2 linked regions of the Astyanax mexicanus genome follow. The protein of the gene in region 1 interacts with the protein of each later gene in a biochemical or structural test. Links are inferred from orthologs where the notes say so. Each region holds a gene or a part of one and is shown in the gene's direction. Other genes may lie near its edges.

Region 1 (11,211 bases):
GTATACATCCATATTATGAAAAGAACTACTCAACTAAGTAAAGAAAATCCTCAAGTGCAGTCGAAAAAGACCATCAAAAATGTAATGATATAACTGGCACGCATCAGGACCGCCCAAGAAAAGGAAGAGCAAGAGTTTAGATGGTGTGTCCAAACATTTTCATGTTGGTTGAATGGTTGATTTATCATGATATTTTGATTTAAAAAAAAAACAGCAAAAATGAAGATAAATTTACATACACTATATGGACTAAAGTATTTGGACATTAATTGTATTAATTCCTGTTGGTTTAGAATGGTATATCTTCTTGATACTTTTGTCCATATACTGTAGATATCAAAAATTAGATTTTTCTCCAAACTATCGCTTTAAAATATCTTGTTAACTTCTTTGTAAAATTTCCCACGAAATGCACAGTCCTGATGACAATCCTGCTGCTGTTGGTTGTGGCCTGAGCCCCCACGCTTTATTGACTGAAGAAGTTTAGCTTTGCCTTCATTTGCCAAAATGTTCCGTTCACATCGAACCTTTTGTTTCTTTTTTTTGTTTGTTACTTTACCTTCTGTAAAAAAAAACAAAAAAAAAACGTTTAAAAAACATTTAAATGCCTTTTTCCCCCGACCCATATCCACTTACTACTTACAGAATCTCCGTTACCAGTAGAGCGAGCACCAGGATGTGTTTGCATTAACTTTACATATGTTACGTTTGCGGTGGTTTTAAACAGAGCGTCTACTTTAATCTGACAATGTCTGATTTAGAGAGTATTGGGCTACGTTCACACTGCTGATGAAAACGGCACAAATCTGATTTTCTTATCAAATCTGATGTTTTTAAGGTTTTTTGTTACCGAGTAGCATCACAGCACTAACACTCAGAGGAAAGTGCAGTAACGCGGTTCTGATAAATCAGCTCACAGATGCAGCTTTGTGCTGATCCACATCATCTAGGAGTGGTTATGGGAAAGAGCGCCTACTGTACCCACCAAGCGAGAGCGAAACAACTGTCCGGCGAACCGGCGATCTCCTAATCATAGTGGCAGCGCTTTAGACTGCTGGACCGCTCCGAGCCCTTGTTGACACAAATTGGATATTTATCTGATTTCACTTCTACTCATAAAATTGGTCCAAATCGAATCTGAACTGCAGATTCTCAATTAAGTGTGTTTATCGCTATCTGAAAATAAAATTCTAATTTGGACCGTTTTTGCAACACTTGTCACACGGGGTTTGAAAGCGCTTAAATCTAACTCCCTCAACCCAATCCGGTGCTTATTTTGGCTGTTCACATTTCTAAACTCACGCTTATGTTATAAAGAGCAGCGCTTCACATTAAGTTTCGGTTTCGTCTTCTCCAGCAACCGTGTGTGTTATTCAGCCATGCTGACTTCCTTGATTCTTAAGTTGGATTGAAGGATGTGAAATAAAAAAAAGCATCAATTCCACTCTGGCTACTTAGATTGAGTCGCATTGCCACGTTTTGGATATGTATCAGATTTCAGTACCACATATAAACATGTAAAAGTGGCCCAAATAGGAAAACTGAAGATATCAGATTTAATGCGTTTTTACGTTATTCAAAACGGTGGGAAATCATTCATTGCTTGAGAAATCAGATTTGGTCAAATTTGGCTACATTTACACAGCACACAACAGCAGGAAGTTGGCATACTGGAATTAAAAATGTCAGATTCAATGTGTTTTGTACCGTTCACACTGCCAAATGCCTAAAAACAACATTTGTAGTTGGGCTACGTTTACCTGCTGTGTTTAATGTAGCAATAAAAATTAAAAAAATCTTAGTTTCAATATGATTTAAGCCATATCTGGATGGGATTCTGGGGTAATTTTCTCTTTTATGGGGGGGGGTTTAATCCTCTGTGATTTTGTTCCCTTTCGGAACGACCATGTACGTGTTTTTCTCAGACGTCCTCTGAGAAAATTACAGGCTGAATTATCTACTGTTTTCCTGAACTCCGTGCTCCTCTGGTAATTTTAGTCCCGTTCAGATCCACATCTCAGAGTTTCGTCTACTCGCCTTTAATAAAATAGCTTTGTCCACTGCCGCGCACCATAATTACACTTTGGGCGCTTGGGCGTTTCCACGGAGATCCACACAACAGTGTAAAACACAACAGCGAGTGGAAATGGAGGAGCTACTGAACTCTGTCATGTGACTGAGAAAGCCTAAAAAAACCTCACTGGTCCTCCTGTGTTTTTCAGTTGCAGTCCAGATGCAGGAGTTTAATCACGGAGTAGAATTAAAGAGAAACTCCTGACCACTAATCATGACCAGATAGGGATTTAGTCTAAACAGCCCGAACAGAATTCACACGCAATTCATTGTTTTAAATCAAGGAGTAGGAAAAAAGAGGGCATTTTTGCTGCAACTTCACAGGAAAATACAAAGCTTTAAAAAAAGAAAGATTAACCCCAAGAACCATAGATTTTATATCCTGTATAAATCCTAATGCAGAAATATAACTGTAAATGATTTGGTAATGGTTTAGGTAAACGTAACTTGTGGAGATAAAACCGAAACTTGACGTGAAGCACAGTGTCAGTTTATGGGTGCATACATTTCAGACCAATGTTAGATATAGGTTGCATTAAAACAAACAAACAAGCAAAAAAAAACATCGGATTTGGTCAAAAATGTAAAAAGGCCACTGTACATGCAATGTGAATGCAGCCTTTATTTACGAGCAGAATACACTTTTAACATCTATAATCTTTTATGATTCGCATCTACATATCTTCACCACAGTTCATCCCACCTCCACCTGCTGCTGATTTTACATTGAGACTGGTTTGGTTTAGTGCAGCTAACACTAGTCAATATAAATATATAAATATATCTCCGTTTGGACCATAGCATGAGCTAGAAAACAGTAAAAATACATATTTCATACAGAAAAAAGAGAGTGTACATTTCAATATTACAACTTTTCTGTGTTTATAATGGATTTACACAACAGTAATATGTATGTTATTGTGTAGTTATGTACGTAATTGTTTGGATTTCACTGCATTTCAAATTAAAATTTCTTCTATCTGTGACTAGTTTCTCATTTTTTCCTTGTAATTTCACTCTCTGGCCACTTTATTAGAAACACGTACCTACATTACATTACCTTGTGCTTCCACTCACTGTATGGCCACTTTATAAGAAACACCTACCTACATTGCATTATCTTGTTTCCTCTCTCTGGCCACTTTATTGGAAACACCTACCAACATTATGTTTCCAGTAAGTACTTCTTCCACTTACTGGCCACTTTATTGGAAACACCTACGTACATTACCTTGTGCTTCTTCCACTCAGTGGCCACTTTATTAGAAACACCTATTTACATTACCTTGTGCTTTCACTCACTTTCTGGCCACTTTATTAGAAACACCTACCTACATTATATTGTGCTTTCACTCACTGGCCACTTTATAAGAAACGCCTACACACTGGCCACTTTTTAGAAACACCTACCTACATTACATTACCTTGTGCTTTCACTCACTGGCCACTTTATTAGAAACACCTACCTACATTATCTTGTGCTTTCAATCACTGGCCACTTTATAAGAAACACCTACACATTTGCCACTTTATTAGAAACACCTACCTACATTACCTTGTGCTTCCACTTACTCGCTGGCCACTTTATTAGAAACCCATATCTTGAGTTACTCAGTGCTTGTATCTGCTGGGACTGAATGGAGCAGCTGGGTGAAGCTGGTGAGATGAAAGTGTATCCGGTATGTATTTGGTCTCGAATGCCCTCTGATTGATGGGCTGTTTCGATGACCAGACAGTGTCCAGTGTCCCTCCTGGACGGAAATACACGGACGTCCTGCACACCCCGCTCATAAAGAGCTCAGGTTTCAATCTAAATTTACTGCAGATGTACTGTACCAAACAAATCCAGCAGCTCAGAGCATAGATCAGGTTCAATTAGGGGTGAAATGAATGATATAATTATAAAATAATAATACCCAATAATACTATAATAATGCAGAATAAGGGAGCACTTCAGTTTCTGAATCATTTCCTCTGATTTTGCTATTTATAGGTTTATGTTTGAGTAAAATGAACATTGTTGTTTTATTCTATAAACTACAGACAACATTTCTCCCAAATTCCAAAAAAAAAAAATTGTCATTTAGAGCATTTATTTACAGAAAATGAGAAATTACTGAAATAACAAAAAAGATGCAGAGCTTTCAGACCTCAAATAATACAAAGTTCATATTCATAAGTTCAGAAATCAATATTTGGTGGAATAACCCTGGGTTTTAATCACAGTTTTCATGCATCTTGGCATCATGTTCTCCTCCACCAGTCTTACACACTGCTTTTGGATAACTGTATGCTGCTTTACCCCTGGTGCAAAAAAATCAAGCAGTTCAGTTTGGTTTGATGGTTTGTGATCATCCATCTTCATCTTGATTATATTCCAGAGGTTTTCAATTAGATAAAATCAAAGAAACTCATCATTTGTATACCAGGAACACCCCACAAAAGACCTGCATGATGTTCTAGAGATTATCTATTCTGTTTGGTTCGTCTTCTCAAAGTGTCCCAGGTCTTTACGTCCATTTGTTCTTTTTTCCTTCTTCAACACATCAACTTCCAAAACTGACTGTTCACTCGCTGTCTAATATGTGGATCCCCTCCTTTGGCAGGAGCCACTGGAAGTATGAAATCAGAGTTATTCACTTTACCTGCTAGAGAACATGTTGGTTTAAATGTTATTCATGGCTTTGAAACACAAATATTCTTGGGATGTAATTCATCTTCTTGCCAATAGATGGAAGCAAATTACCTACATTGCTAGATTCCGACAGTCAGGATCACATGACGGAGAGAGAGGCATTCAGTAAATATAGAAACATGGTGTTGTAGCAGAACTTCAGCTTCTGCTTCTTCTTCTTTTTAATGGTTCTATCTGTTCTTTTCTTTTCCACACCAAAAATAATTGGACAAATTGGAGAAACTGGACATGTCTGAGACCCCTGCCTTCCAAACAAGCACCTCTGCCTCTAGAAGGGTAAAAGGTGCAGAGGAGGTTCTGCAGGAGATCCGCTCTGACCTGCTGGAGTGTAAGGTCTGCTTCGAAAGGTTCTCCTCAGACCAGAATGGGCGGAGACCTAGGAACCTGCCCTGTGGTCACGTGATCTGCCTGGCATGTGTCTGTGCCCTGGCACACCCTGTCTTGCGCCAACTGGAGTGCCCTTTCTGCAGGCGCTTGTGCGATATCGGGGGCACCTACGACTGCCAAGCCTTGCTTGACCTTCAGGACCTGGTTGCTTCGGCTGGAATTCCAAGCTGTTCAGCCAACAGAGTTCCTGGATCAGGCCCATCTTGCTCTGGTCATCCATGCCCAGAAGGAATGGGACCACAAGCCAGTGCAGAATCGCCAGGTTTGCTCGTCCAGATGCATCTTCGTGCCGCTTTTGGAGGCTGGGGTACACTCATCAACCCAACTGGGGTCGCAGTACTCGAGCCATCAATGGCATCAGTGGTGGTGGTGCACGGGGGCCATGAGAAGGTCAACATCTTCAACTCTCAGGGTCACTATTTGCACAGCTTCGGTTGTTACGGTCACAACCGTGACCAACTGTGCCACGTTCTTGATGTTGCAGTATCTACCAGTGGTCATATTGTTGTGACCGATGCTGGAGACAGTTCAGTGAAGGTCTTTACTTCAAGCGGACTTCCTTTGGCAACTATCATTGGGCCGTTTGAGCTTCCATGGGGAGTTGACATCAACAACTGTGGGCACATTCTCGTGACAGACGCTCAAGCTGGCAAACTTTGGCAAATAAAGGTGGACTTTGGACAGAATGTTGTCTCAACCAAGATGGTGGTTCTGCAAGACCTTCAATGCCCAAGAGCTGTAGTGTCATGTAAAGTTTCTGGGTGTGTTGCAGTCTTGGAGCACATGGAGGTCCAAAGACGCCACAATGGAGGTTCTGCAGCAACTCGACTAAAGCTGTTCAGCCAAGACTTTGTCCTCCTAACTTTGGTGGACAGTTCAGGCTTGAGCCAGATGTCCTCAATGAAGCTGAACATCTCCTACGTCACCTTTGACAGACATGGAAATGTCATTGTGGCTGATTCCCAACAAGGCACCGTATGGAGTTTGGGGGACCTGGAGACGACGACTGTGATGACTGCACTGGTCCAGGATGGACTGGTGCGTCCAGTAGGTTTAGTAGCAACTGAGCAGAACTCTCTGATCGTCTTGGACAGTGGAGATCACACTGTGAAGATCTACTCAACCAGCGCAGAGAACTCAAACTGTGCGAAAACCATCAAATCGATCTGAAAATGTCTTGCTGTTGCTCTTGATTGTCTTTTGGCTTGTACTGATAACCCAACGGAACCTTGCTTTAACATCCTGCATACATAAAAATAACTTGTGGCCACAGCTTAGTTAGCAAGTTCTGGTATTGGAACTATTTGATTATACTATGGCCATAATTTGTTAAGGTGTAGAAAAGAGATTAAACATAATTAAGATAATTAAGTCATAGCCACAACTTTAGTAAGGCAATGAAATTTAATAATTAAGCCAATTGACTGATAGCTACAACTTAATTATATAGGAACAAAATATTAAGTTGTGGCCACGACTTGGTGAGCTGTGGAAATTAAATAATTAAGTTATGGCCACAACTTAGTAAGACTTGGGAAAGAGATCATCACACTGTAATGCCAATTTGGTAGTTATTTTATAGCCCCAAATGAGTAAGGTATGGGAACAAGATAATTATTCTGTGGCAAAAACTTAGTAAGACATAGTAACGATGTAATTCATGTCAATTAGTGGCCACAACTTAATAAATTATGAGAATGTATTGAAAATTATGTTGTGGCAATGATTCAATATGTTGTGGGGATGTCAAGACTTACTAAAATACGGGACTAAGATAATCAAGTGAAGGCCACAACTTAAAGCCATAGTAAGCCATGTTAATGAGATAATTATGTTGTGGCCACAATTTAATAGGCTATAATAATAAGATAACGTCTTGTTTCTTGGCTACAACTAAATAAGTCATGGAAAATAATCATTATGTTGTGGCCGCTACATAGTAAGATGTTGGGATAGACACAGTAGTTGTAGACACAACTTTTTACCATGTGGTAACAAGATAATTAAATATTGTGACCACAACTTAGTAAAGCATAGGAATTAGATAAGTAATGGCCACAGTTTAGTAGCATGTGAGAAGATTTGGGTTCCGATCTCTTTACTAATGTGTGTCTTTTTTAACAATTTAACAAGTTGTGGCCACAACCTATTTTATAGGTATTTGATGCATATGTAACTTATTTATTAAAACTTTGAAATTAACCAATACTTGGAATATGGAAGTATTTGCACTAATTTATAAACTGTCAATGAACTGTAGAACCTGGAATTAACTGGATTCAGGTATTAAAGAGAAATACATAAAATATCGGTTTGAATTCATTTATTCTGTGCTTTAAACTTTATATATAAATAATTTACATTATTAAAGAAGCTTACACAGTACTACTGATACTATACGCTGTAACTATATTGGGCCACTTACTTTATGTTTATTTGGATTTATTATTCTAATGTTATATAGAGTTAATTACAGGTAGACACTCTCTGATCACTGACTTTATGTTTATTTGGGTTTAGATATGTAATACGTTTTACATGCAAATAAAAATTTGTTAAAATTACATTATTAAAAGTTTTAGACTATTTTTGTAACTGAGATCAGTGGCGAATCAGGCTTATATTTTTGGCGGTACTCTGACAAAAATGATAAATAATTAATCAGCAAATCTAAAATCTGAATAATTTAGTATGTCATAGCGGAGTTGTTGAGTAGATCAAAGTTTTTATAGCTGTAAAAGTAATCTAAACCTGTGGATAAAGATCTAAAAGTGTGGATAAAAGTCGGTAAAGGTCTGAAGAAGCCCTAGTTGACCAAGGGCAGTTTATTGAGTGGCCGGTAGTTTAAGCCACTCTAGATATGATTATCTATCTATGATTATCTATGTGTATTTATATAGAGTTAATTACAGGTAGATAAAATCACTGACCAATGAGTTTACAATTATTTGGGTTTATTCTAATGTTATATAGAATAAATTCTTACAACTGACTTTTGTTTATTTGAGCTTATTTTACTTTATATATAGAGTTAATTAAAGTTAATTACGGGTAGATACTCTCACTGATCACTGACTTTATTAATGTTTATTTGGGTTTAGTTTTCTAATGTTATATAGAGTTAATTACAGGTAGACACTCTCACTGATCACTAACTTTGTTTATTTGGGTTCATTCTAACGTTATAAAATTTTACAGGCAAATAAAAGTTAGTTTTAATGTCATTATTAAAAGTTTTAGACTACTTTTGTGACTGAGATAAGTGGCTGGCCAGGCTCCTGTTTTGGGGGTACCCTGACAAAGTGTATAAATAATGAATCAGCAAATCTAAAATCTGCATAATTTACTAAATTATAGTAGAGTTTTACAGGTAGACACTCTTACTGACCACTAACTTTGTTTATTTGGGTTCATTCTAATGTTACGTAGAGTTAATTCTTACAACTGACTTTATGTTTACTTAGGTTCATTCTCATGTTACATAGAGTTAAGTCTTACAACTTACTCTATATTTATTTGAGCTTATTTTACGCTATATGTTATATAAATTTATTAACAGGTGTACACTCACTGATTGCTGACTTCATGTTTATTTAAGTTTATTCTATTGTTATAAAGTTACGTTCTAAAGTTTTACAGGCAAATGTCGTTAAAACAAACTTTTATTTGCCTGTAGAACTACTTTTGTGAATGAGATAAGTGGCTGGTCAGGCTCATAGTTTGGGGATACCCTGACAAAACGTATAATTAATGAATCCGCAAATCTAAAATCTGCATCATTCACTAAATTATAGTGGAGTTGTGGAGTAGATTAAAGTTTATAAAGCTGTAAAAGTGATGTAAAACCGTGGATAAAGATCTAAAAGTGTGGGTGGCGGTTCATGGAGTGGCTGGTAGTTTGTATTGATATAGAGTTAATTACAGGTAGACACTCTCACCGACCACTCACTTTGTTTATTTCGATTAATTCTAATGTTATATTGAGTTAATTCCTACAACTGTCTTATGTTTATTTGGGTTTATTACAGGTAGACTCTTTCACTGATCACTGAGTTAGTGTTTATTTAGATTTATTCTGATGTTATATAGAGTTAATTCTTACAACTGACATTATGTTTAATTATGGTAATTTTTATTTTCTATGTAATATAGAGTTAATTACAGGCAACCTTAGATACTCTCACTGACCACTTTATGGTTTATGTTTATCTGGATTTAGTATTCTAATGTTATACAGTTATATAGAGTTATATAACAAAAAACAGATATGAGCAACTTTTGTGACTGAGATAAGTGGCTGGTCAGGCTCATATTTTGGGGGTACCCTGACAAAACGTATAAATAATGAATCAGCAAATCTAAAATGTGCATTATTCATTAAGTTTTTGTAAAGTTGTTGAGTAGATTAAAGGGTTAGAATGTGTAAAAGTGATGTAAAACGTGGATAAATATATAAAAGTGTGAATAAATGTGGGTAAAGGTGAAGAAGGCAAGGAGGCCTGGTTGACCGGGGGGCAGTGCACCAGTGCACGGGGTGGCCGGTAGTTTGAGACGCCGGAGACCCCGCTGTATCCCCGGGGAGCGGAGCTGCAGTCCCCCGCTGAGCTCTCCCTCGCCTCGGCCGTGTTTTCCGGCGGTGTTGGGGGGTGTTTGGAGTTTGTGCGGGTAGTTAAGGGTTTTTATAAAGTTCTCCGGGTGTTTGAGGAGCGGTTCGTGGTGGAGTTGGGGGGTTTGGAGCGGGTGAAGAAGCGCTGGGCAGGGTTTCCACTGGAGAGAAGTGTGGAAGATGGCGGTCTGGATGCTGAGAGGAGCCGGAGCCGGAGCGGCGCTGCGGCTGTTTTCGGGCAGATAGCGGGCTGGAAACTGCGGGGGAATGCTCGGGTTGTGATTATTTCTCTTGCCGGGAATGGTGGGCTTCTTTTCAGGTGGGATTTTCCACCGTTTAGCCTGCAGAGACTTCAGGAGAGGCTGTTTTATGAGCGGGACTTTGCTGGGCTAGCCGTCCGGTAACGTTGCTAGCTAGTGGACTAGAGCTACGGGGGTCTGGGAAAAAGAAGGAAAACAACGCTAAAAGTGCGTAAAAATGTCGGATACTAAGGTAAAAGTCGCGGTGAGAGTTCGCCCAATGAACCGGAGAGGTGAGTACAAGCCTTGTCCTTAATTTGGGGCAGATATTTGATCAGATTGATCAGATATTAGCTTTTTAAAATTCACTTCCAATGCTCCATCAGGCTCATGCTCCAGCATAGTTACAACACTAACTAATAACTAGGTTAAGTAAGTTAAATAGTTATTAGATGCATTGTTATGGTTGCTCAAGTGAAAATGGACAAAATATCAATATTACCCAGCATTAAAGACTTCTACACTGATTATACACCCATTATACACTTGTACACATTGATATAGCCTAATACATGTTTTTTGTAATGGATTGCACCATTGCACTAAACTCCAGTAGTTAAATGCAAACCCAAAATCTTCTATTGCATCTATTGCCTAACCCAACCAAACTTTTCCCCATTGCATTGCAGAGATTGAGCTCAGCACGAAATGTGTGCTGGAAATGGAAGAAAACCAGACAATCCTTCACCCGCCGCCTTCAAACGCGAAAGGAGACAGCAGGTAAAAGTGGTTTTACCCGTGCAAGGCTTTGCTTTACATCATTTTGGCTTCTGTTCTTATGTTTAGGTTGTGTATAAAACTCCAGACAAAAGGAAATGCACCAAAACTGAGTGTTTTCTGACTTCAGCATGAGACTGGCTTGTTAAACTCTGTGTTGGAATGTCATTTAAGGTGACTTCTGCACTCTGAACTGTTGGTGATATGATCTGTACCACAATACAGGGGTTACGACCCAATATATATATATATATATATATATATATATATATATATATATATATATATATGGGTTGGGCTGGGTTGCACCAATTGTGTGTTCCTTTGAGTTCCTTCTTAAATTTGTGTGTAAAGTCTCTGCTAGGCGTTACAGTAGTTAAAACTAGTTAGCTTTAGACCTTCCATTTACTAAATCTACTACTTGACACTACTTA
Region 2 (11,211 bases), on another chromosome or scaffold:
GAATAAAGAAATAATTGCTTAAAACATTAAGTAAATATTTAAATGAATATTTAATTACTTAATTTTTTTGTTTATTTAAATATGAAAATGAAGCATAAATAATTAAATGTTTCGTTAGTTAATGGATATATTTGTATTTCATTAAATATTTAACTTAAAAAAATGTATATGACGACTCCCATCGATGCTGACTGATTGCTCCGGCCTGCTGTGATTGTTTTCCTCAGCATGGCGGCTCTCTTCGTGGATCTGCAGGACATTTCTCGGGAGTTGGTTAGGAATATCTTACGGCAAGCTGAGGAAACTGAATCAGGGGCTACAGCCCCAGACACTGTCACTGATCAAACACACGAGGTTATAGAGGCTTGATAGAGCTGCTCTCGAGCATCTGTAATCGTTCTTTTATGACTTACTGTGCAATCTAACCAATCAGTCTGCATCGATGAGAGTTAGGCCCGCCCACAGAGTTTGATGGTTGATGTTGACAGATATTTTTTTTTTTCATAGTGCATGAAATAATGAAATACATATTTAAATAATGAATTAAATTATTTAAGTTAAACAATTATTTAAATCTAAATATCACAGTCAACTATGAAATAAATTTATAATTAAATAAATTAATAATTTAATTAATTAAATCTCATTTTAAATATTTATTTAGCGTTTTAATCAATTATTTCTTTATTAATTTACTGATATCATAATTTCACAAATAACCCTCCATATTTTGCAGGGTGTGGTTGCACATTTAACCCATAATATAACAGGAGGGTTAAATTACAGGTTAAATTAAAAAAAGAAATACAGAAAAAAAACTAAAAGCATTGTAAGATTAGAAAAAAGATAAAAGAAAAGAAAAACAATTTAAAACCTTTAAAAGAATACTGATTCTATGTAAGTGTTTCAACAATAATACCACTAGGCAATGTTAAATAAAAAGGTGTTTAATAGTTGTTTTTCCATCATAAACCAAAAAAATGTGGTAAATGTGGTAAATGAAGAGAATGTGATTTTTTTTATATCTTGTTTCAGTGTTTAATATTTATGTGTTTTAATAAAATAATATTTTAATTAATACTACTAACAACAACAAACACAACAACAACAACAACAATAATAATAATAATAATAATAATACCTTAAAGTAAATTTCTTATGAATTAAATTAATATTCGAAAAGGTAACAAGCCACCAAACTTTGCTAAACTTTTTCTGCCTCTTTCTTTTAAAGTCTATCCCTCAGCATGCGGATCTTCTACACCAGGATACAGTACAGTTTGAATTATACATAAAGTTTTCTGCTAAAATTCTAAAAAAAAAAAAAAAAAAGAAGCTAAATTAAGAAGCAGAAGAAAAAAAAGGAAGATGAAAAATAAGGAAAAGAATAAGAATATACTTCAAAGTAAATTCCAAAGTTTTTCTTAAATTAATTAAATGAATAGCTGACAGCATTAACAAATCACATTAACTGTCCCACGCTCTCGCCTGTCTGCAATAAAAATAGCTAAACTTTCTGGAGACTGGGGTTTAGATACTGTTGTTACCCAAACACCCAATCTAACGTTTTGATTATTTATCACCTGCAAATGCGCATACCGTAGGAGACGAAATAAGCCGCTTAAAATCCACCTGTAGTAGGCTTCCAACGGAGGGTACATCAGTGTATCCTACTCCAGAAGACTTTTAAGGATTTTCCAATGACATCACTGCATCCACGCCCACAGAGCACGCGAAAATGGGGAAGGCAACACCCAAATATACGTCATAAACATATTAATTAACTAGGTTCCTTATCTAATTAAACAGCCAGTAAAGCAGTAACATAATTTATAGTTTAGATAAACTGTATGCTCAGTAAAACTATATTTATGACCCTATGTGTATCATGTTATACATATAAAAACATATATTATTTATAATATATATATATATATATATATATATATAATTTTTTTTTTACGAATTAATTTTATTTAATTTATTCATTTATTTACTTATTTATTTTAACTTAGGGACTGATGAGGAAACTGTGAGCGTTGTGATTGGCTCAGTTCAACGGTAGTCAACATCCTATCTAAAAGGGATCAGCTGTCCCATTTCCCCAATTACAGCTCCTTCCCTCCATTCCTCCTCCTCCTCTCCTCTCCTCGATTCCTCCACCTTCTTCCGGGGTAGGAGAGGAGGAGTAGCAAAAGTTTCTGGACGCAGCCACTGAGTACATTTTCCCTGGGATGTCTATACAACAAAACTAAACTACTATATCACACATCACATGATGGGTCACTGAATATATATATATATATATATATATATATATATATATATATATATATATATATATATATATATATATATATATATATATATATATATATATATATATATATTTTTTTTTAATTGAGTGCCAGAATGTACAATATTTTGATAGCAATGCATCTAGCATCAGAAATAGACTGCACAAAAATATTAAGGGTCTGTTGGTTGTTCCCCACCACACATAAGGAGTTGAAAAGAGGAGCATCTCTGGAGTTATTAGAAAACTCAGTGACCCCAGAACACATAAGTATTTTGTTTGGAGCCACTGAACTGTGGTCCATTCTGTTGTAGCCTTTACTCAGAAAGGTCAGTTGTTTGGTTGAGTGAGTCTACACAATATATGTTTCCTGAACCTGATTTTGCTTGTTGTACCACACCAAAAGCCAACTCTTCATGTCTATTTGTGGCTTTTCCTGAGGCTGGTGTCATTGACCAGGGAATCTATGTTAATAAATTTTTACTTAAAGGCAGCTTATAAGGAATAAACCAGTTAATAAAATCTAATTAAAAAGGTTGGTCATTAAGCCCAGATGCATGTAATAAGTCATGATATTTTTGGGTTAAGCTTCTATAGTTATTAACATGATATAGTCTGGGCAGTATTTTTATATATTTTAATTTATTTTTGGCAGGTAGTTGTACGATGGACTGGCCATTGTAAACAACTAGACAATAAATGGCACATTATGCAGATAAAAATGAAGTTTTAATGTTGGCTTAGCTGTTTAAATCTATTCATGGTGTTTGAATAAATAGGTAAAAAACAAAAAAAGTAAAATTTTGTCAAATGTTATCCAAAATCTGAGGACAGTATAAATCCTGTGTTTGATAGCAATGTAAGCCAATAGCTTCTCCTGTTTTCAAGTAAATAAGGACATTTCAGTTTTTTAATGTCTTAGGCCTGTACTGGACATCCCTTGTGTAGACCACTGATGCTGACACAGGCATCACAGCTTTTTTACCATGCTAAAAAATTATGGTGATGTGTACCGCACCCATCCAACATGCACATGTGGGCCACAAATGGCTGTAATGTGGGCTAGGTGCGTTTCATTGGGCTTTAGATGGGCATGAGTGAGATTGTATATGTGTTTTTACTGGGACCCAGCCTGTCTCACCATTAAAGTCTTAATCTCACATGTGTCCTAATCTCACATGTGTCCTATCTAGGTCCTGTGTGCATTGTACAACCCAGATGGGGCCCATGTTTAACCCCTTCTGGTCCCATTAATAATCCTGATTGGGCCCATCACTGACATCTACATGTGGTGCCAACATGGAACCTGATGAAAAAAAAAAACATCTAGATCCCATTGGGGCTAGTTACACAGGTCCCACAAGGGCATGCTATCTGGACTGTGCTACGACTAATAGGGATTAAAGGAGAAATACAGTGTGAAATGAACTTGGTTGTAGTAAATCATGATAACAAGAGGGATTGCCCTCATCATGAGTTCTCAAGTTTACCAAGACATTTTGCAGGACCTTAACCCAGTTGAGATGCTGTGGCATGACCTAAAGAGAGATTTACACCAGATATCCCAAAAATATTGCTGAACTGAAACAGTTTTGTTTGGGGAATGGTCCAAAAATTCCTCCTGATTGTTGTGCAGGTCTGATCTGTAGCTACAGGAAACGTTTGGTTGAGGTTATTTCTGCCAAAGGAGGGTCAACCAGTTATTAAATCCAAAGGTTCGCATATTTTCCACTTGTCCTGTAAATGTTAACATGTTGTGTTTAATAAAACCATGAAAACATATATATTTATTATTTTTTAAGCATACTGTGTTTGTCTATTGTTGTGACTTAGATGAAGATTAGAACCCATTAATGACCAAATTATACAGAAATCCATGTAATCCCAAAGAGTTCACATACTTTTTCTTGCAACTGTATATTATATAGCTGACGAATACAGTGATCAGAAGTAAATCAGAAGAAGAAAACTATTTTTAAAATATTTTTAATCACATATTTAAAAATGCTCACCTTACAGGATCATTTTACATAAATAATCATTTCAGTGATTATAACAGTAACCTTCCTGTCCTCTAGCTGTTGCTAGTCTGCAGATTTACTCTCTAATGCATTATGGGAATTGTAGTTTTTAGCGAGCGTGTTCAGGGCCGGCTGCGTTGTAATGCGTCGGTTTAAAAACTACAACTTAAACAAAACAAGCGAGCTGAACCCACACGAGTATCTGAGTTTAACAGAATTTAACAACCATCCAGAAGGTTAAATACAATAGGTTTAAGCCTTCATTAATAAATAATCATTAATCAGACAGCCGTTATTCTCGCAGCTCGAGCGGAACGCGGCAGAGCTCCTGTGCTGGCGGTATTTTTAGCTCCGGGTTTTTCTCCGCTGCTCTTTAATGTCAGAGGTCTCTCACACACCGGCTCTATAGACCCGGACTGAACCCGCGCTGCTCTCAGTCCCTGTTAGAGATGCTGGTTTTCAGGTTCGGGGTGATTCTGACCCCCGCCCGCCCGGACACGGAGGTGTTTGTGCTGGGCTCCCGCCCGGAGCTCGGCCACTGGAGCCCCGATAAAGCCGTCCGGATGAGCGCGGCGCGGCCGCTGCTGTCCACCCGCGAACCCTGCCTGTGGACCGGCCAGGTGCAGCTCGCCGAGCCGTTCACCGACAAGCACTGGTTCAAGTTCATACAGCGGGTCGACGGGAACTATGTGTGGGAAGGTATCAACATATAATCCTCAGTACTCACATATTCAACCGAGTGGACTTTATTAATACATTATATATATATATATATATATATATATATATATAAACAATAACAACCTCAAAACTTGAAGCCACATTTTATAACAAGAATTTATTATACAATTCCTCTTGTATATACTCATTTATCTATTTTTGTCATAGTCATACAATTTACACCCTACTTTTGAAATAAAAGGCAGACTGGATATAATTTTTACTGTAATATAATTTTGAAGTAATTTACATTCTGAAAACATTGAGGGCTTTGGGGTCTCCTACAAGATTGGGGGTCTCCTAAAAGGAGAAGCTTCCTGTTCACACATTTTTGATCAATTACACAAATCAACCCAAATTCTGCATGTTTGAAAAAACATATAAAAACTAGACAACCATAACAAAACAAACTGTTTGGAGGACATGAAATGTTTGATTTGTATTCAGAAAAAATTTTTGATTTTATGATTTTTATTCAGTATACAGTATTTTCAAATTGACTTTAAATATTTTATATTACATTCACAATTAGGATTTTTAGTAATGTTTTTTTCAAACATGAAACCTTTATATGTGATGCTTGAATAGAAATCCTCTAGATACAGTCCTCGGAAGCTTTGCTGTGTGTGAAAGAGCATTTTCCTGGAAACCCTGAATCACATTGCTAAGCTGTTAGTTTTCCTCATATTTCTACTGCAGGTAGCCGACTGTTGTATGTGATGGCCCCCTAGGTTACAACCAGGGGCAGATCTAGCCATTTTGGGTCCCTAGGCAAAATATAAACAAGGGGCCCTAATTCTTAAAACACACACATAAACCAAATAACTAGAAATGGAACGATCGATCGGCAGTGTATCGGTATCGGCTGATTTTCAGCCAAAATACGGTATAGGCGATCGGCAGATATTCTTCTGATTTTAGCCAATCTGATTCAGGAGTTTACGGTTAAGCAGTTAATCAGAGCTCTGTACCAGGTTTGTCTGCCACCTGTGTGGCATTAATGTGGCATTTGGCCCCAACCAATATCAGTATCGGCGATCGGCCGATCGTGGTGAAAGGTGATCGGCGATCAGAATCGGCCCCAAAAACACTGATCACTGATAAAAAAGGAGGTGAATTTTGGCAGTGCATCTGCGATTCTTTTGCTCTCTGTCCGTTTCTTTAGTTTAGCAGAACCACTTTCATAACTCCGCTTCATTTTCACTGTGACAGCTCTCACTCTAGTCGCGTACAGTTCCCGCTGTTTTGGTTTAAAGTCACGTCGTGTGGCACATTGCTACGTCATCATATTATGGACTAGTTCAATGCAAGCAACGGAGGGGGGGGTATGTGTGTTTGGACCATTAGTATTTAGACATTAACTTGGTATTCTACTGATATTTCTGTTGTTTTTTTAATAAAAATATGTTTTTTCTTTTCTTTACATAAGTAACAAATTAAAATTGTTTTTGGTGTATTTACTGTAGCTGGGATGGTCAGATTTGGGGGCCCCTATGGAGGACAGATTTGGTTGAGGCCCTAGGCAAATGCCTAGGTTTGCCTAATTAAAGAACCGCCTTTGGTTACAAAACCAGGCAGGATTGAAAATCAGTTTAAAAAATATGTATCAAAATCACAGATGAATTAGCCAGAGGCAGAGCATAATAAAGTTAAAACATGTGAATTTGTTGTAAGAACCTCCTTGTTAAATATATGGAAATAGGTTAAATATATAAGGAAATAGAAGGGAGTGTTGTCATCTGTGTTAGAATTAAAATAATTTAACATATTTCTAGTTATGTAAATCAGACATTACGTTCTGCAGTGTTTACTAAGCTACACTGCTGGGCAAAATAGGGGCTGAAAAATTCTACATAAAATGCATCAAATGCTTATTGTCTTTGTCAAACTGTCAAAATGTATTTGAAAAAACTGCACATTTAATTTGTTCACTTTTTTACAAAATGTGACTGTGTCAGTTTTATCATTTTTATCATTTGATTGCTTTTTGGTAATCTGACAGTGTCTAAATTAGGGGTCCAAGCACCGTAGGTGTTGGAACCCTATTGGAATTGCTCAGAGTTTTCTTATTATTATTTTTATTCTTTAAAAAATGTTGTAGAGCAGTATTGAAGGTCATCCAAACTTTAAATTTGGCAGAGAGGTACTGTAATGTACCCACTACTCAGGCAAAAGAAATGACCTAAGTTGGCCTGATGGTGGCACTATAAAGCAATGTTTTGAATTTGGGTTAGTATCTCAGCAACTGTGACATGTAGAGTGAAACATTTTGAATCTTATTCCGGCAAGTTTTCTGCATTAACGACTCATTGTAAGTTTTTAGCTCCGCCCACATCCACCACTGCCATATTTAGCAAAATCTACAAAACATATTTTTTCTACTGTTTGTTGATTTTTAAATTATATACATATATTATTATAGACAATATAGGTATCAAAATGTTCAGCAGAGTGATTTTGATCAAGATTTATTTAAATGTTCATATTTATTAACATTGCTGCTATATGCAAATTAGTCATCCTGGGGTGGAGATTAGTTAAGATAAATGGCTTAAAATCAAGATTAAGAGTTAAGATTAAAATTAAGAGTTTTGCTAAACACATAATTCTTTGAAAGGCATTCAGGTTTCACCCCAATTAAACGATAGGTGGTGCTATAAAAACAAAAAAAATGTTTCTCAATAACTAGGGTTCCAATTAAGTGAGCATTTTGTCTCCTCTGATTGGTCAGAGCTGTCTGTCGCGGGAGCAAGAAAGTAAATATTGTGAGAAGATTCTGTGTTCCAGGGTGTATATATGTGCAGTGACAGTGCTGCTTTAACACAGAACACTGAAAATTTGCTGCTGTGCTTTTAAACAAACTGTTTTCAACGTGACGTGCAGCATGGCAGCAAGTAGTGAACGCTGCACATATCACCCTCAATGTGAACAGCATGGAGCATCAGAGACTGTGTTTGTTCATAGCAGTATATTATCTGGCTAATATGTCAGATTAAACTGCATTTTATCAGCAGTTTAGCTCGATTAAAAAGAAGTATATTTGATCACATTTTCACCACATGCGAACCCCTCCATGGGCAAATTACAGGGGGAGTTGGGGTCAAACTTGGTGGCTTAACTAATTACGTAAAATATAAATACCGCATTATTGATTCCAAATTATTCGCATCAATGCTTTAATGTTGACAGCCCTAAAACAAACACAATGGATGATAACATAATCAACAAAATAAATAGGGTCATAACTATTTATTACGCCGTAATTGCTGCTGTCATTTTACTTTATTTAGAATGACAATACCGTAGACATGTTGTGAACAAAGTGTCCATTAGTTGGTCCCTTCAGCACTGCCCTATCAGGGTGTGAGGATTTTGTCTCCTAAGGGCCCTGCAAAGACCTCATTTATGCTCTTTGGACAGTGCTGTCATACTCAGGCTATCAGGCAGACTTCCCAGGCTATCAATTCTAGGCTTGGCTCAAGCATTAGAATGACATGTCTGAGTTTTCCCAGCAGGCCTCATCAAATCTGAAGACCAGTCAAGCGTATGTTCGTCACCAAGACTTTTTAAATGATGTTTAGTCTGTGTGAATGACTAGAACTAGTTCATAAAGAACTAAGAAGCTTTATCATCTTCAGTATGCTAAAATTCATCATTTATGGCATTTGGGATTCTCTGTGGGCCAACTGGCCAAGTAGTTGGCCAAAGTGTGGCTGATTACAACCCTATTAGGTTAATGCACAACACTTAACACCCAGAGTATTAATGCACTCATATACTGATCAGTTATAGATCATATAAATTTATTACATGCTTGAGTCCACAGCATATGCTGTCTATTATTTTAATGTAGATCTGACTGTTTCTGCATTTTAAAGCATTTTTTTATATTTTGACATAATGTGAATTAGACAGTCACTCCACTTTTGGACATAATGGGAATCTGGTGTTAAACTTAGCAGCTAGGTTGCTATTAAGAGAAATTCTAAACTACCAGCACAGAGTACTGTGTATTATTTATATGAGAGAAAATTATATCAAAACAAATCAAAATGTTTTGCCAACGTACCTGGTCTAGTATTTATTAATATAAATATACAGCTCTGGAAAAGATTAAGAGATCACTTAAGTTTCTGAATCAGTTTCTCTTATTTTGCTACAGGTTTATGTTTGAGTTAACTTAACATTTTTGTTTTATTCTATAAACTCCTGACATTTCTCTTAAATATCAAATAAAAATATTGTCATTTAGAGCATTTATTTGCAGAAAATGAGAAATGGCTGAAATAACAAAAAAGATGCAGAGCTTTCAGACCTCAAATAATGCAAAGAAAACAAGTTCATATTCATAAAGTTTTAAGAGTTCACAAATCAATAATTGGTGCAATAACCCTGTTTTTAAATCACAGTTTGCATGCATCTTGGCATGTTCTCCTCCACCAGTCTTACACACTGCTTTTGGATAACTTCATGTCAATTCTGGTGCAATAATTCAAGCAGTTCAGCTTGGTTTGATGGCTTGTGATCATCCATCTTCCTCTTAATTATATTCCAATTGTTTTCAATTTGGTAAAACCAAAGAAACTCATAATTTTTAAGTGGTCTCTTATGTTTTTCCAGAGCTGTATATTAATTTAAGTGTGCATTTCTTTTTTTATATCAACAACAATAATAATAACAGTAATGGACACAAAACAAGCTTTTTGTCATGGTTTGTACAGAATGCAGACACGTACAGATACTGATAAAACAATGTTTATTATAGAATAAACAAAGGTAGATCGTGGTCGGTACAGAAAAACAGGTGATCACCAATAACAGGAGCAACGTAGACAAAACCATACCATAACCATGAAACAGTCCAGAGTTCATACCAGCAGCAGATATCCAGCAGCAGAGATAATCCAAGAGGCAGTAGTGAAAACACAGTCCAGGTCAAACACAAAAAAAATCCAATATCAGAGGCAAAGGCAATAATCAGCGTCGAGAAAACAAAAGGCAAGGTCATACACGAAAAAAGCAGAGACAGGTAATTCAGAAACGCTTCGTAATGATGTAGAACCAACAATACTAGTGGGTGTGTGTGTGTGGTGTGCTCTTATATAGTGCCAGTAATCAGTATTCAGGATATCCTGGAGGAAGCAGGTGAGGTGTCATGTGATCAGGTGTGTGTGTGATGTCAGCGGGTGGTGCGTTCTGGGTAGTGTAGTTGTTAGACTGAGAGCCTCCGTTGGAGCTGGGTGTGGAAGGGACAGAGGAGCTAACAGCACCAGACGTGACACTTTTCTTGTTGTTATCAGTAACAAATACAGTAACTTGTAAACTAACTTAGTTACTTTGTATGTTTTAAAGGAGTAATCAGTAATTTTTAAGTAATCATTACTTCAAAAAAAACTATGCCATCACTGGCATTATGACAATTATTTTGTTTTAATTTTTAGATTTTTAGATTTCTTTTGTACATATTTGTTTTACTTTTTGACAAAAATGAATTAAATCAGTTAATCCATTTTTATAGTTTATTCCCTTTCTTTTCCTCGTTTTCTTGCTATCATGCCACTGAAAACCTCCCTCACAGCTGTTATCCATTTTCCCTTTTCTTAGCCAATGTCCTCACATGAATGCTGCATGAATCTGGCTGTTCAGTCACATTGCTTTATATTGGATTTTAAACTGATTCCAATTCTAGATAGTTTAAAAAAAAGTAAAAACAACCAAATGTTTAGACAGTGAGTATATATTTTGTTCTCTCTGTTTCTCTCTACAGTAAAATAAGAACACTTGTAGTATACTACAAATGCTGCTGTAATAAACTGCATACTACATTTACTGCTATATAAAATAATAAATAGGACCGCAGGACCACCACAGAGTAGATATTTTTTGGGTAGTGGGACCTTCTTAGCACTGCATTTGACACTGGCATGGTGGTAGTGTGTTAATGTGTGTTGTTCTGGTACAAGTGGATCAGAAACAGAACTATCCTCAGTCCAGCAGTGACACTGAGGTGTTTAAAAACTCCAGCAGCACTGCTGTGTCTCATCCACTTATACCAACAAAACACACACTACTAACACACCACCACCATGCCAGTGTCTCTGCAGTGCTGACAATGATGCACCACCCAAATAATACCTGCTATAGCTGCTCTATGGTGGCCTCTCCTGTAGGGTC

The links.
Region 2: the proteins of E3 ubiquitin-protein ligase NHLRC1 (region 1) and epm2a form a complex in vitro, tested with the Homo sapiens proteins (3 studies listed by BioGRID, with this or other methods). The link is inferred for Astyanax mexicanus from reciprocal best matches to the Homo sapiens genes NHLRC1 and EPM2A.

Annotation. Positions count from the first base shown.
Region 1 is NC_064408.1:123,014,327-123,025,537, forward strand, and holds E3 ubiquitin-protein ligase NHLRC1, read left to right. Parts: upstream 1-4,669; 5' UTR 4,670-4,996; coding exon 4,997-6,325; 3' UTR 6,326-7,497; downstream 7,498-11,211. Other genes in the region: kinesin-like protein KIF13A, read left to right, coding at 10,239-10,293, 10,690-10,780. UniProt on the Homo sapiens protein: E3 ubiquitin-protein ligase. Together with the phosphatase EPM2A/laforin, appears to be involved in the clearance of toxic polyglucosan and protein aggregates via multiple pathways.
Region 2 is NC_064420.1:13,239,804-13,251,014, reverse strand, and holds the start of epm2a (laforin), read left to right. Parts: upstream 1-4,480; 5' UTR 4,481-4,766; coding exon 4,767-5,016; intron 5,017-11,211. UniProt on the Homo sapiens protein: Plays an important role in preventing glycogen hyperphosphorylation and the formation of insoluble aggregates, via its activity as glycogen phosphatase, and by promoting the ubiquitination of proteins involved in glycogen metabolism via its interaction with the E3 ubiquitin ligase NHLRC1/malin.